2 linked regions of the Schizosaccharomyces pombe genome follow. Each later gene encodes a partner of the first gene's protein in a complex. Each region holds a gene or a part of one and is shown in the gene's direction. Other genes may lie near its edges.

Region 1 (7,708 bases):
AGCCATCGTTTCGAGCTTATTTAAACCCAACTCTTCCCTCTTTTCACGCAAAATGGAAGCTTTTCGTTGTCCATCTACAATTGCACCTTGAACTTTTCCAGTGAGGAATTTACCATCATCGGAAAATTCAAGTACATTGGCATATGCATAGTCCAAGTCCAGTTGTCCCTTGACATATTCAGCCATTGGAACAAATCCACCACTAGCGACAACAAGAGTCGCACCCATTTGCTTAAGGCAATGACAAAGCTGTTTAGCTCCTGGAGTGAAAGTAATTTTGCCAATGACTTTATTTATGACATCGACGCTCAACCCTTGTAGTAGAGAAACGCGACGACGAAGTGATTCTTGAAAGTCAATTTCCCCATTCATTGCAAGAGATGTAATCGTAGCAACCTCTTTCTGGATGCCTGCTTCTGCCGCGAGCTCGTCAATACACTCTTGTTGAATCAACGTCGAGTCCATGTCAAATACTACAAGCTTCTTTTTAGTGGAAAATGTTGCTTCACTCAAGCAATTACAGTCTACATTCTCAGTAGCAGAAATGCGGTTACAAGCGTCTTTAGCATCTTCAAACGTTCCTTTAAGTTGGCCTGATACTAAAGTCCACTGTTCCCCCAGAGAACGAGTCTTCCCATCTCTAAACAAGGAGGAAATCTGTTCAAGCACATTTGGACGATTTGAGGAAACAACTATGGCTGCGTTGACCATGCTTATTAAAAGGTATGAGTGGGTTTGCTAAATTTTCTAAGTTGAAAAGCGTTGTTTTCGGCAAGTCCCATTTACTAATTACTCGGCTATTGATTAAGCTTAACGTTAAACGACAACAAGTACTAGGTCAATTTAAGTTATTTGAAAATCTCAAACAAGCTTATTTTTTGTTATTGTTTACAAATTTATCATTATCTTCAAAATGCTGTATAAATTGTGAAGTTGGTAAAGTGGTGCCTAAACTCCGTTTTCAAACACAGGTTAATAAGCAAATATTTTTTTTATACATTAAAGCAATAAAGCAAGAAATCATAACTAAGAAGATGTTTGGAAATATTGCAATATATCAGGGCAAATATTCCAAAAATGAGAGCCTACCATAAAGTAGAGAGTGAGATATTTGTAAAGTGAAAAAGCACTAAAAAAATATTTGGCAATGTAATAATTGTTCTCTTTCATTCCTAAAAGGTTATACACAATTTAATGTGCTTTACTTAGAGAATCGCTCAAGTACCTCTTCTGATACACCTTTAACGGGAAAAGTGCTGTATTGAATAGCAGAAGGTGCCTTTCGAGGTTCTTTACTCCTATCTCCTCGAGGATAATACTTGTAGCTATAATCAAGACTCTCATCACTTTTTCCGCTACTGCTTTTGGTGTCTTCCCAGGGGTGAGCATTTTTTGAAGGAATTCGGACTTGATCTTCATGTTGTACCAACAAGCCCCGCTGTCCTAAAAAACTGTTAGCTACAATCATTTAATTTAAACAATCATATGTAAATGCGCTTGTAAAATAAATATTCTGTAGGAAAATTTTAACAGAATATTAAAATTGAGTATAATGTTTCATTAACTGCGCTGATTTCTAATTTTCTACTAATTTTTAACATACCAAGCATATAACCAGCAACTCCAAAGGTATAAGTCATGACACACCAAGTTATCTAACAGCAAACTGATCAGCTTACGAAATAATCAACTCAATATATTTTTCAAAAAAAAATTGAGCTTACAAATAGTTCTGGATATTCTCTTGACCAGCGAACCAGGCGGTTCGACATAATTGAGCGCATAATTGACATGATGGTTCCAAAAATAAAAAGTTCTTGTTCGCTTGAATAGTTTGATTAATTGTTTCGAGATGGAAAGGATCTAAAATCCTTTTATGATTGTAAATGTCAAAATGAAATACGTAGGCGAACATTCGCAACATTTATGACAAGCATCAATATTTATGGGGATCGCCACCTGACGCAGACAAGACGTAGCAACGGTGCGCATTAAGAGATTCAAATTTGAATGGATAATAATATCATAATAATCACCAACTCCTTCTACTAAAGTGGTGAAAGAAGCAACTTTCCAATATTTCTAGATTTTCCAGCGTTTGCAATCGGGATCGAACCGCCCTTGTATTTATATTGCTTTATACAGTTTTATAATACTTTTCAGATACTACCTCTACCCTTGTATTATACTATAGAATTTGTTAGGACACTTATTTACTAAACTTTTCCTAAGATTATATTTGTAAATAATAAGAAGAGAACACTAAAAAACTTCGCAAACAAATAAAAATGGTTCGTACCATTATAAATAAATATAGTCATTTTTCAAAATTTAGCTGCCATGAGGTTAGTAACTTAATAGTAGTTGCTGACCGCAAATGTTTCTCCAGTAAAGTAGGTCCAATGTACAAGTACGTTTAAAAGCGTCATTGAGATTTTCTAAGGAATAAGAATTTAATTCATTTCCCTTTAAAACAGGAAATAAAACCAAAGGACCGCTTGGAGTCATGCATATTGAGGAATAACAATCTAATTCGATAATCTTGTGAACTACATTTCCACTAAATACAGTGAATGAAGCCAGGATGGTTTTTCTTAGATGTAGATTAGTAATAATTTTTCTTCAAAATTTCATCCATAACTGACCATATACCGTGTTTCTTGAGTTATTTGTTTACAAGCCATAGAGGTTATTGGGTTATTTCGGGGCTAGTGAAAGTATAGAGATGATCCTTTAAATTAGCCCTTTCATTAATAGCTTCGCGATAATCATAATTTCAATAGTTGCAACACTCTAATAAACTTTTAAGATCTTTTTTCGTTGCTTCCGTACCTTCATTTCTAATATTTTCTCAATTACACCCTCCCATTATTTTCCTGCTAGTTATTTAGCCATTTTAAAAAAAAAAAAAAAAAAAAAAAACATAATACACAAGATGAAAATGGTTTACTAGCTAGTCTACTTCCCATGATATTGGTCTTTTATCTTAGTCTTTGGAGTCTTTATCGAGTCATATATTACTAATTTTTCCATATATTATCCACTTTCTTTACAAACCCGAAATTGCACGGATAGTATAATTTATTAAACTTGATTTTTCTAACTTTGAGCCCTGAATTGTTGTACTGACAGGATGTTCCAATTACAGTATCGATGAAATATATTTAAATAAAAAGTTTGAAAAATATAAATACTAATATATTGGCACTCTTAAATAATTTTTTTTACATTTTATTCGTAAAAAAAAAATAAGTACTTTATTTATTATTATTAATTTTATTTCTTCGGTTAGTATTTTTTTTTTTAGCATTTCATTTCATATTCTGTTTTTATTTCCCTTCTCTTTTTAATACACTCTCATCGATTAAATAGGCGCCATTCCAAATATTAGTTATTAGAGTCACATTCTCTAATTGTTTATTTATTTTGATTTCTTTATTTGCTTAGTAAACAAACTTTGGCGGATGCTAATATTTACTTCACCCTCCATCGCAAAAGGGGTTCATATCCTTACCGACAACAAAACTACAAGATATAATACCAGGTGTAAAAATAGCTGTTTCTTTGCCATGTTTGTTGTTTAGAGAATATAATCATGAGCTATGAGAAACACAGTGATGCTAAGGCATCCCGCTACGCGTGGAATCAGCCATGGAATCCATTTGAGGTGACTTTGTCTGATCCAACGTATCCCATGAATTTGGAAGAAAAGAACCAAATTCCTTATAGATTTCAATCCGTTCCTGATGATGTTCCGGAAGTACCGCATATTGAAAGCCGATATAAGAATTTACCAGGAAACAATATCTATTTATGTTGTGGTCGATTGCAAATGTCATCTCAGTACAAAGCTTTCCTCATTAGCTTGTTTGCCTTGATTCTTCCAGGAGTCCTTTTCTTCATCTTTTCTGCTTTTTGGCTCTGGCATCATGTCTCTCCCGCTGTCCCTATTACCTTTGCTTACCTGTATGCCTTAGCCGTTGTTTCCATGTTCAAGTGCTCGACTGCTGATCCAGGAATTCTTCCTAGAAATGCATATTCTTTAACTTATAACCCTGCCCATCCCTGGTCTGTAATTCCTGAAGACCGTAAAGTCCTTGTTGGATCCACTCGGTCTGACTCTGTCTTTGTTAATACAGTTTATTGCCATACGTGCCACTTATATCGTCCTCCACGTGCAAGCCATTGTCATTTATGTGATAATTGTGTTGAATACCTTGATCATCACTGCATTTGGTTAAACACTTGCATTGGTCGTCGAAACTACAGATATTATTTTATTTTTTTGTTATCTGTCGTTCTTTCAGCTTTGTATCTAACTGGATTGGGGTTCTATACTTCTATAGGAAGTTTTCATGAATCCACAGATACAAATTTTGCGGCGCATCTTCGTCGTCCATGGGCTGGCGTATCTTTCTTCCTTGGCATTTATGGGGCACTTGGAGCAATACTTCCTGGCATCCTTTTCTGTTACCAGTGCTATTTAATATCTGTTGGTCAGAATGTTCATGAATACTTACGAGCAAAGAGTACAGAAACTGAAGATGTACATCCTTTTCATGACAGCATATGGCTCAATTTTCTGGTTGTCCTTTGTCGTCCTAAAAATGTGAGTTACGTTCGTCCCACTAGGAAGTCTTACGTGTAATATGCCTTGGCTTCACAAAGAAAATAAGAAATAAAAATTTTTTATTTGCTAGACAATAATGCTCAAATCGCTCACGCATATATGCTACACTCTTTCATCTTCCCCTTACCAATTTACTTTTCAGTACCGAAATTAATTTGGTTTTAATAACCGGAATAAAAAAGATTACTCCCCTCTTCAAAATTTTTACCTGGATAATGTTTTGTTCTTTTTTTTCATCCTTGTCGTCGACCCCTTCAGCTCGCCCTTTGTACTTTACAGAGAACAATGTACAGAAACAAATGTTTATAAAACTATTCCTTGTTCTCACCAATCTCTGGAATTATTAATATTTAATTTGGCTGCTCTCTTTTATTTTTAAAGTAATGCTGCTTGTTTTTATGACTTATATGATAGATAGATGGTTTTACCTCCTTTAGCTAAACCCCTTTCCAGTCTAATTTATTGGGATTTGCTCTTTATTGTTCTTTTTTATTATTATGATTGCCTTTTAGGCAAATCAATGTTCCATAGGTAGATAGTTTTTCTTTTTTTAATGAAATAGCTTATCCACATTTAGAGGATAGTTTTCTGGAAAATAATTTGGTATTAGACTTCTTTAATTTGATACTTGAAACTTCTATAATATTAGAACTAGCTTTGCATTACTGACCGGCTTGTTCATTCTTACTCTGGTTCATGTTGCTCCGTTCCCAGGCTTGTGTTTTCCATTCACCCTCTACAACCATTCGGAAAGCTGGTTACTGTAGTTAGGCTATAAAACTAATGACAAACGGCTCTTAAACCTAATGTCTTCTTTACACGAGCATTTACGCCCCATTCCTGAGCCTTTTTCTTTAACTTTGCTACTGGGAACAAGAGAAACACCTGTCACATTTCTGTTCCATTATTATTTATACCATGCGTTGAAAGCAAAGGAAAGTACTTGTTTTTTAACATTCAGTAAAACCTTAGATGAGCATGCAATTAGTATGCGTAAATGGGTATGTAAAAAGAGGGATTACGATTGCATAAGTGGTTGAATGATAAACTATTCGTATGACTAACCTACTGAACCAATATTAGGGAATGGATATTAAAACGAAAAAAAATTTCTTCTTTATCGATGGCTTCAGCATGCTATTTGCTCCTATTTCCAAGCCTTCGAAGGTACAAGCACCAGAAACCAAAAATCACATCAAATCTGTTTTCGCGCCTGTGATCCAATGTGTGGAGGAAAACGATTTTGAATTTGAAAACTCCACGATCATCATAGAAGATATTGATATTTTACAAAGTACTCATGCTCTCGATTCCACAAAGATTCAGCAGGCAATTTTGGAATTACGAAAATGTTTCAGTAGAGTCATTGTAAACGTGACTTTGGGAGCTCCGTTACCACAACAAAAGTCTTTAGGCTCTTCAATCGGACACATGGCAACTAGATGTATTTCCTGTCGGCCTTTGACTAGCGGTAGCGCTCGACGAATCACCGGATTCCTGCGTCTTTCTCGAATGCCAAATCACTTTCGTAGTGGAATATGCGAGACCCCGGAGGATGATGACAAGGAGCTTTTATACGAGGTAACGGAAGCAGGTGCTAAGGTATATTCCAAAGGGCAGGTGACGCTGCAACTCTAAATTCCTACTTCATCTACTTTTTCTCAATTATCTGCTGCTGCAGTCTCTTCGTCTCCCTTCTTTTCCACTTGTACATTATCTTGCACCCACCGTTTTACTAAAAATGTTCGTTGAGGCCTGGATTCATCTCCTTCTTCATTATCCTCATCATCTTCATTAGAATATGTATCTACAACAACAGGAACCCATTCTCTGCTCCAATGCACTGCTGTTTTTTCATTTTGTTGAGGTTCCACACTTTCTGAAGTCCTATTCATTGTATATTTGTAGAGTTGCGAGTATCACAAGGTGCGCGCGAATTGGTATAGGTGTAGGTTTACAAGGAAGAACAAGACGCTCTCTGCACAGTGTGCATTGATTTGTGAATTTGGAATTAACGAACTAGGTTTGGTTATTTTTTTATTTAAAATAGTGCTTTTTTAATTTAAAAAAAATTGATCGAGCCAGTTTGGTATTCATTGAAGGTTGTAGGGTAAATCGTTGTCATACAAATTTTTTATCGCATTTTTTGGAATAACTACTGGGTTGGGTAATATTTTGAAACATCTTTCATACATATAGAAGACCGTGCTACGAAATTGTTAGGAGATATGAGTGGTATATCAAAATTAAGTGATTTTTGGGTTGAAAAATATAAAAAGGAGTCGAAAAAGTCTTGGGATAAGTTTTACAAGCGAAATGAAACAAGGTTTTTCAAAGATAGACACTGGCTTGATCGTGAATTCGATTGTTATTTTGGATTGCCCGATAAGTTGCCATTGACTATCCTTGAAGTCGGATGCGGTGTTGGAAACCTCGTCTATCCTCTGCTAGAAGTGCAACCAAATTTGAAGATATACTGCTGTGATTTTAGTCCTCGTGCTATAGATTTTGTGAAGGTAAGGAGAGCTACTAAATTTATGCCAATTTGCTCTGAAATATTTAATTTACTAACCTTTGTCTTAATTTAGAAGCATTCCTGTTATAACGAAAATAGAGTTTTTCCTTTTGTTAATGATATAACCGAAGATTCTTTGCTTGAAGTTTTGGGTTCTGCTTGCATTGATACATTAACTGCCATCTTTGTATTATCTGCCATTCCACGCGAGAAGCAGCTTCGTTCTATTAAGAACTTGGCTTCAGTCATAAAGCCAGGAGGGCATTTGGTGTTTCGTGATTACTGTGATGGCGATTTTGCTCAAGAGAAATTCATGACAAGCGGTGACCCATCTATGATTGATGAACAGACGTTCGTTAGACAGGATGGAACTTTATCACTTTTTTTTCGAGAAGAAGATATTGCTGAATGGATGAAAAGCGCCGGGTTTGGCTTAGTAACATTAGATCGAGTTAATCGCACCGTTGACAACCGAAAGCGTAACTTAAATATGAAGCGTACGTTTTTACAAGGAGTTTGGAAAAAGCTGTGAATACTTTGGTAGAAAAAGTTTCTTTGTTTGC
Region 2 (8,103 bases), on another chromosome or scaffold:
TGCAAGACGCCAGTTACAGGCACTCCGCAGGGAGAAGAAACGAGATATGCAGTCTCTATACATTTTGCGCAAGCGAATTTATTGTAAAAGTTGATATGCATTTTTTAATATCAGATACTACACAAAACATTTTCTGATAATCATAAAACATAAGACATTTTCAACTTGCATCTTAACTAAGCCAAATTCTACATCAATGTTATAAATTTTAGCATTAGCCATATTGGGGGAAATCGAAAGCTATTGATATTTTTATAATTGCAAAACGATTTGATAATGTAGAGAAGATATTGGAATATGTTACTCTCATCGATGAGCAGAATTAAAAGCTATGGGAGATAACGACTATTGCTATTGAAAACAAGAACTAGGCACGCAAAGAAATATATACCTTCTTTACTATAGTGCATGGTATTAGAGTTACTTAAAAGATTATTTTAACAACTTGCCGATCACGAGGTGATTCACAGATTTATAGCATAAATGAAAACCTACGGATGTCTAGCAATAAAGTTAGGATTTTACTGAAATTCGAGTCGACAACTAAAACATAATATTTTTGTAGCATCGCTTTGAATGATTGAGCATGTAAATATTTAGATATAATTGAAAGCATAGAAATTATCATAAATGATTTTCTTTAGATGCTGAAAGTAATAGCGTTTTTTCTATACCAGTTTAGTGTTCGCGTCATCCATAAATACCGAAGTAAAATCAAGCTTAATATAAGCGAGATTTACGAAGGTTGGACTAAAGATTAGTTTCTCGTAGAAATGGTCATGAACTTTTGAAAGGTCTCTTAAACATAAAATAGTTTTTTAAAAAACTTTCTATATTACTTTTTACCAAATCCAATTACTGCTTTCATCAGTACTCCTTTTTTTTTAAAATGGAAGCGTTTTGACATATTTCGTTCATGATACGCTCAACTATTAGGAACATAGTAAATTATACTACAAATTCACTATCTATACAATGATAAGTATCGTTGAACGTTACATATTGGAAATCAACAGTCAAGCATTGTTTACTGATCACCGAGGAAGAATTTCATGATTATCCTCAGATGTACTCAGTCAAGAATATGATATTAAAATTATTCTCAATATTTAGCTTTAATTAAATATAAGCTATTTAATAAACCAATTTATATGTAAATACCATTCAAATCACCTACATAAATATCTATAGGAACATATCTGTAGATCAGTATCCAAAACGCCGTATAATGTCAGCTACGCAGTTTGGTATCTGCTTTAACGATACGAAAAACTGGTGAATTTTGCATATGATCCATTATATTATAATAGCCGGGTTATATAAGTAATGACTAAGTACTGGTATTGTACTATTTAGGTTATAATGTCACCTATCACTTATAACTGAACTGCGAAATGAGGTTTAGTTGTATCTCTATCGATTCTATCCAAATAATCTATCTGTTAATATAGTATTATCAATATCAATCTCGACATCGCATCATCTACGTTGCGTATCACTATATGTCACATGTTCTAATTATATATCGTACCATGTATGATACGATATTGAGATTGATCTTAATGATAATCTATTAAGATCTATATTATCTGAATAATATAAATAGAGCTACTGCTGAACCTCGTTCCTCAGTTCAGTTATGAGCTATATTAGTGATAGGTAACATTATAACTCAGTTAATACAATACCTATACTCAGTTGCTACTTATACAACCTGTGTATTGTAATATAATAGATCACAAGGAAAACTCACCGCAGTTCTACGTATCCTTAAATCAGATACCAAATTGCGTAGCTTACAATTTAATACAAAAAGGCATTGCCCGTTATTTGATTTTGTTGGATATCCTTAAAGTATGGAAAAGATGTTGCTACTAAGCAAGAGCGTCTAGCATCTGCGAATATGGTGGAATCGGATTCTTCGGGAATCGTTCGACATTCTCAAGGAGAATTTGACATCGTCCAGGTTTACAAAAAATTTTTGCAAGATGATCCAGAAATCACGATGCCTGTAGCCGCCATTGAGGCTTTAGTCCAGCTTTTGTCGCGCTCTCAAGGTATGTTAATTTGTAGTACTCATGTGAGAAATGAATTTACTGATGTTTTTCTATTAGCCAAGACAATTTCAGAATTTATGGACATTTTACAAAATGGCTCAAATACGCTGAAGGAAGGCGTTCAAAACAACATTTCGCTTTCAGCTGGTTGTGACATTTTCCAACGGTTTGTCACTCGATCACTACACGATGTCGGGGTATGTGTTGATGCAAAGTAGTTTTCTTTTCTTTACTAATTCTCCACGGCTTTAGGATTTTGAGCAATGCAAACGTCACTTGGTAGAAAATGGAAAACTCTTTATTCAGCGTGCTCGTGCTTGTCGACAAAGAATTGCACATTTAGGTTACCCTCTTATTCGAGATGGTAGTGTTATTCTTACCCATGGGTTTTCACGCGGTGTTGCGGCTGTTCTTTTGGCTGCTGCCAAGCGTCACGTTCGTTTCAAAGTTTTTGTCACAGAATCAAGACCTAGCGGCTCAGGCTGTCTAATGACGAGAACATTAAAAAATGCTTGTATTCCTACTTGCATGGTTTTGGATTCCGCTGTAAGCTTTACTATGAACCGTGTAGATTTGGTCTTGGTTGGCGCAGAAGGTGTTGTCGAAAACGGAGGACTCATTAATCAAATCGGTACTTTCCAACTTGCCGTTTTTGCCAAACATGCACATAAGCCCTTTTACGCAGTTGCAGAAAGGTACGTAAACGTTGAATCCATTCAGCTTACAATTATTTTTCCCTATGATCTCTCCATTTCCCTGTTAATTTTAAAATTTGTACTAACGTTTTTTAGTCATAAATTCGTGCGTATGTTTCCCCTTTCTCAATATGATATTCCCTTTAGTCGTCCTATTCTGGAATTTGATGATCCATCTCCTGAAACTGTTCATCCTGAACCTGAACCAATTCCAACTCCATCAGATGCTATTCATAACGAGCTGATCATGAATGAAGAACAAATTCGAAATAATCCTACTTTGGATGTTACACCACCCGAATTTGTCTCAGGTCTCATTACCGATTTAGGGATCATTGATTCGAAGAGTGGGGTAAGCGAAGAGCTAATTAAATTGTATCTTTAGCAATCAGATTCTCCTGATCTTAAAAATAAAATATGAATAGATTGTACTTTGAGTTGACTTAAATTTCTCATAAGTCTTGTCCAACTAGATTCGGATTGAAAGTAATCTTCAAAAATACAACAGTAATACATTTTCCGATCATGCTAATTGACTGTACGACGTAACATTTTCTATGTTATTTTGTAGTATTACAATATTATTTTTGTTTCAATGCGCCCACTAGTGAAATTTTATTATTAGTTCAACAAAATTTATCTAAAAGGTATTTTTATTGAATGATTAACTTTAGTCAACAATTTTTTATTTTCTCAATCGCAACGCTGAATTTCTTTGTTTTCTGACTGATGATGCTTAAATGTGTGCTGCAAATTTGCGTCGCGTTAACCTTTCCATCCAATTTGCTATTCCACGTACACCAATCGAAATAAGTATTGATGTCGTTCAAAAGGAAAGCAGCACCTCAAATAGCACCAACAAACTTGCCGACAGGCGTTAGACTATCTTCAAAGGATGCTAGATGGATTACAAGCTCTGGGAGTTCTTCTTTTGACTACTATTTGTCTGGCGGCATTCCAATGAAAAGTTTGCTGGTTATAGAGGAAGATTCGATGGATTATGCTTCTGTGCTACTTAAATTTTTTGCAGCGGAAGGCCTTAAACAGGACCATGTTATTTGGCTTGGTCCATCTATTGGAGAGATGTGGTTTCGTCAACTTCCAGGCGACAGCGACCGGCCTAATAAAAACGAAAATTCAGCTGGAGAGGATAATCATTCTTCTCCTCCCTCTAAAAATCCCCAGCAAGAAAGAATGAAAATTGCCTGGAGGTATGAACAAGTCTCCAAAACCAAGGCACCGACCCTTGATATGATTCCTCCTGGCTATACTCACTCCTTTGATTTGTCAAAGAATTTGATAGTGAAAAGCGATATGAAATACGCTGTTTCTCCATTCCCTTTGGAAACAGGGTCTAATCCTTACGCCCCTGTCATTGAAAGTCTAACGAGATTCTTATCTACTCTGACTCCAGGTACGGTATGCAGGTTAGTTCTTCCATCCATTTTGTCCCCAGCCTTCTATTCTATCCGTGCTACTCATCCGCAGCATTTCATAAGATTTATTCACACACTTTCATCGCTCATCAAATGCACTACTTCGGTGCACTTGATATGTATGTGTTCAGTTCCTTCTACTTTGTTTTCAAGAGATTGCGAGCAAATTTTTTGGCTAGAAAACCTTGCATCCGCCGTATTCTCTTTGCATCCTTTCCCGGTCAAAGAAACTGTTAACGGTTTAGTTACACAACCATTAGGACTTTTCCGTATCCATAAGCTTCCCTTAGCACTTCCATTTACCAATCATGCAAACTCTAATGAAGCTGGAGACCTCTCATTTACTGTATCGAAAAGAAGATTTACCATTGAACCATGGGTCCTTCCTCCACTGGATGATGAGCAAAAGGATACGAAGATTTCAAACACGAATCCTCAAAAACAGCCTGTTAAATCTTTGGATTTTTAGACAATTAAAAAACCTCTAAGTTTCTGAGTATTGAATTGGATTAAAATTCTACTCGTTTTCGTGTTATGTGATATGGTTATGGTTTGTAAATGGATTTTATAATTTTTTTTGGATGCATTGCATTTGTGTTATTTATTGTTCATACGAGTTTAAATATTTTTCATTTCTCCCGTCTAGATAACTGATCAATTATCTAAATGTTCGTCAAATGGGATAAACGTTCTCTCAATCAAAACTTTAAAACACAAGTTAATATAGAATGCGAACTGAAAGCCGTCAAATATCTCTACGAAGAACCGTTACTGTGATCTTAAAGCAAAGTGCATGAAATACTTGTAAGTAAATGACATTTTAAATCTTAAACAGTGTTAAACCGTTGAAATTTGAAGGATACAATTATTTTCTCTATTAAAACAGTTCTGAAGTAAATTGTTGATGATTGTTATCAAAACATTGTCAATCTGTTGGTACTAACAGTATTTGACATCTAAGCAAATTAAAGAGACAAATCAAAAAGTTTTCGCGTATTCGATTTTTCTCTTTAATTCTAGTCGCATTATCTTTTAAGTCAAGTGACCAAAATTAATGTGATTATTCCAATAGTCCGTATGAATGGGTCCTTAAATTCGTCTCAATTTACTTTTTTTGCATTTTGACAGAGTTCACTATATAGTGATTTACCACCTAAAAATGTGCTACCTATACATTCGCTAGTTGTTAAACATTGAGTTGAATGTTCATAATCCACTACAAACGTTCATTCAATGTTTCAATTAAGTTAAATAGAGGTTCATTGATAAGACAGATACATATATTTAACTGAATTTTATTGATGTATATCTTGGGAACATATGCCATATTGAAATTGTTCACATCGCCATAGTGCGCTTTCAACCATCAACAAACAAAAGGCAAATTGGGCTGGTTTGATGAAAATATCCATCTTCAGAGTCGAAGTTATTTAATATCCAGTCTTATAGACAAAGAGACATTTTGTTAAGAAAAATAAGTGCAGGTGGCTAAAAATGGTTCGAAAGTATGGAATTTTCATCGACGCTGGATCTAGTGGTTCAAGACTTCTAATTTATTCTTGGGACTATGATACCGATTCCTCTTTAAGTGATAAAGTAAAAAAATTACCATTAATCGAGACAGGGATTGGGGATGGTGGTAAATGGTCTTTAAAGGTTCAACCTGGAATTTCTTCCTTTGCCAATAACCCTAAGCATGTAGGGAAGAAGCATTTGAAAGAACTCCTGGATTTTGCTGCTCATGCTATTCCCAAAGATGTACATAAAGAAACTCCGGTTTTCCTAAGTGCTACAGCTGGTATGCGTTTACTGGGCGTTGATGCCCAAAACAAAATACTTTCGCATGCTTGTAGATATATTAAAAAGAATTACGATTTCGACATACCTAATTGCTCAAATTCAATCCGTGTAATTGATGGCAAAGCTGAAGGTATGTATGGTTGGCTAGCTACGAACTATCTCCTTAAGACACTTGAAGAAAAAGATACGTCAACGGTTGGTTTTTTAGATATGGGCGGTGCGAGTGTGCAAATTGCTTTTGAACTTCCCCCATCTCAGCTCAAAAATTACAAGGATAGTATTTCGACCGTTCACATAGGACTACAAAATGGTCAGCAATTGGAATATCCTTTGTTTGTTACTACCTGGCTCGGTTTTGGCGCTAATGAAGCTTACCGCAGGTATTTGGGACTGTTAATAGAAAGCGAAAACGGAAAAGTTGGCAACACTTTAAGCGATCCGTGTTCCTTGCGTGGACGAACTTATGATATCGATGGGATCGAATTTGCCGGTACTGGAGATTTGAAACAATGCTTGAAACTGACTTACAATCTATTAAATAAAGACAAGCCATGCTCCATGGACCCTTGTAACTTTGATGGAATATCTATTCCTCCTGTTGATTTTGCAAATACTGAATTTGTTGGGGTCTCGGAATTTTGGTATACGACTAATGATGTGTTTGATATGGGCGGTAGCTATCATTTCCCTAATTTTTACAAAAAAGTTGACGAGTATTGTGGTACAGAGTGGGAAACCATGCTTTCCCGTCTTTATAATAAAGAGCTGACTCCAAGTACTGATGAAAACAAGCTTGAAAAGCTTTGTTTTAAAGCATCATGGGCGTTGAATGTCCTTCATGAAGGATTCGACGTTCCCAAGTCAAATACAAGTAGTAATGATGCAAAGGATGGGCTCTCGGTAATTCCTGCGTACCATTCTCCATTCACGAGTTTAGAAAAAATAGAACGCACCGAAGTGAGCTGGACCTTAGGCCAAGTATTGCTTTATGCATCAAATCAGCAACTTCTAGCAAAACCGGAATATGCTAATTATTATATGGACCCATACGGAAAGCTAATCGCATCCCCTTCAAAACATTGGATGAGGTTATTTCCTAATAAATTGTTCTTTATTCTTTCATTTATTTTCTGCTTATTCTTTCTGTTCTCTTTGGTTTTGTTCGGGTATGATCCGAAAAGGCGCCAACGTTTCAAAAAATTCCTTCTGCGCTTGCAACGTCGCAAGGCTCCGTACATTATGTCTGCAAATGGAAGTTATGAGGATATAGCAGATTTTTCTGATGATTTAGAAATGAGCAGTCCCTCTAAGTGGCATGGACCCCCGATACGTACCACTTCAAGCCATGTTCTCGCAGACAGACTTTCGTTTACTGCTAGTCGAGAGAGAACGCCTAGATCCCCTTTTCCTTAATATTCTTTACCCGTAATTTTAGGGATGGACAGCTTTCTGCTGCACTTATATGTTTCTTTTAGCTTTTTTGTCATTTTTTCGTTCGTTCTTAAAGAGAAAGCTGTGAATTTCAGTTGCTTCTCTATTTCACTTTCAGTACTTCTTTCATTCATAATACACCTAATTAACCAAACCATATTAATCACTCGTCTCAACATTATGTAGGCGTGCCAGTCCTTTGTTTACTCGTATGAATATTTTTATCAAGTCAGCAAAAACTCCTAAATGTCCATTTTACACTTGCGATATTTGAGTCATATCTCTTCTAACCGCTTGTGGCAGTTAGCATAATAATCATCATCGATTTTATTAAATTTGAGATAAAGCATATAGTTGAATTGGGTAAACTAAATATAGCAACCCCTAAGGTAAAACATGTTTGATGTATGGAAAATTACATATGTTAGTTATTTTAAATTTTAAACCATTACAATCAAGACCTCTTTTCAACCTTTGTTAATATGATAAAAAAGAGCAATCTGTATCTTAATATATCGAACTCAAACAAATGAAGCTATATTAAATAATATCAAAGTGAAGCAACTTTTATGATTCATCCTATGCATTGAATATAACTAATCTGCCTAATTCGAACATTCTAAATCTGCAAGATAAATAATTTTGAAAGTAGAATCTCCATAAATTTTCTTAAAAAACTAGCAT

The links.
Region 2: elp6 (region 1) and elp4 share a complex: the UniProt entries of both Schizosaccharomyces pombe proteins name them as parts of the elongator complex.

The regions. Positions count from the first base shown.
Region 1 is NC_003423.3:1,863,337-1,871,044, reverse strand, and holds elp6 (elongator complex subunit Elp6), read left to right. Parts: upstream 1-5,361; 5' UTR 5,362-5,436; coding exon 5,437-5,631; intron 5,632-5,713; coding exon 5,714-6,268; downstream 6,269-7,708. Other genes in the region: phosphoserine phosphatase Ser2, read right to left, coding at 1-711; SPOM_SPBC3H7.08C (uncharacterized protein), read right to left, coding at 1,202-1,443, 1,604-1,655, 1,725-1,793; palmitoyltransferase Erf2, read left to right, coding at 3,596-4,648; protein tam8, read right to left, coding at 6,292-6,525; trm141 (actin binding methyltransferase), read left to right, coding at 6,859-7,146, 7,219-7,677. UniProt on the Schizosaccharomyces pombe protein: Component of the elongator complex which is required for multiple tRNA modifications, including mcm5U (5-methoxycarbonylmethyl uridine), mcm5s2U (5-methoxycarbonylmethyl-2-thiouridine), and ncm5U (5-carbamoylmethyl uridine).
Region 2 is NC_003421.2:1,459,807-1,467,909, reverse strand, and holds elp4 (elongator complex subunit Elp4), read left to right. Parts: upstream 1-3,519; 5' UTR 3,520-3,571; coding exon 3,572-4,657; 3' UTR 4,658-4,924; downstream 4,925-8,103. Other genes in the region: translation initiation factor eIF2B alpha subunit Gcn3, read left to right, coding at 1,904-2,057, 2,115-2,254, 2,310-2,752, 2,849-3,137; nucleoside diphosphatase Ynd1, read left to right, coding at 5,683-7,401. UniProt on the Schizosaccharomyces pombe protein: Component of the elongator complex, a multiprotein complex which is required for multiple tRNA modifications, including mcm5U (5-methoxycarbonylmethyl uridine), mcm5s2U (5-methoxycarbonylmethyl-2-thiouridine), and ncm5U (5-carbamoylmethyl uridine).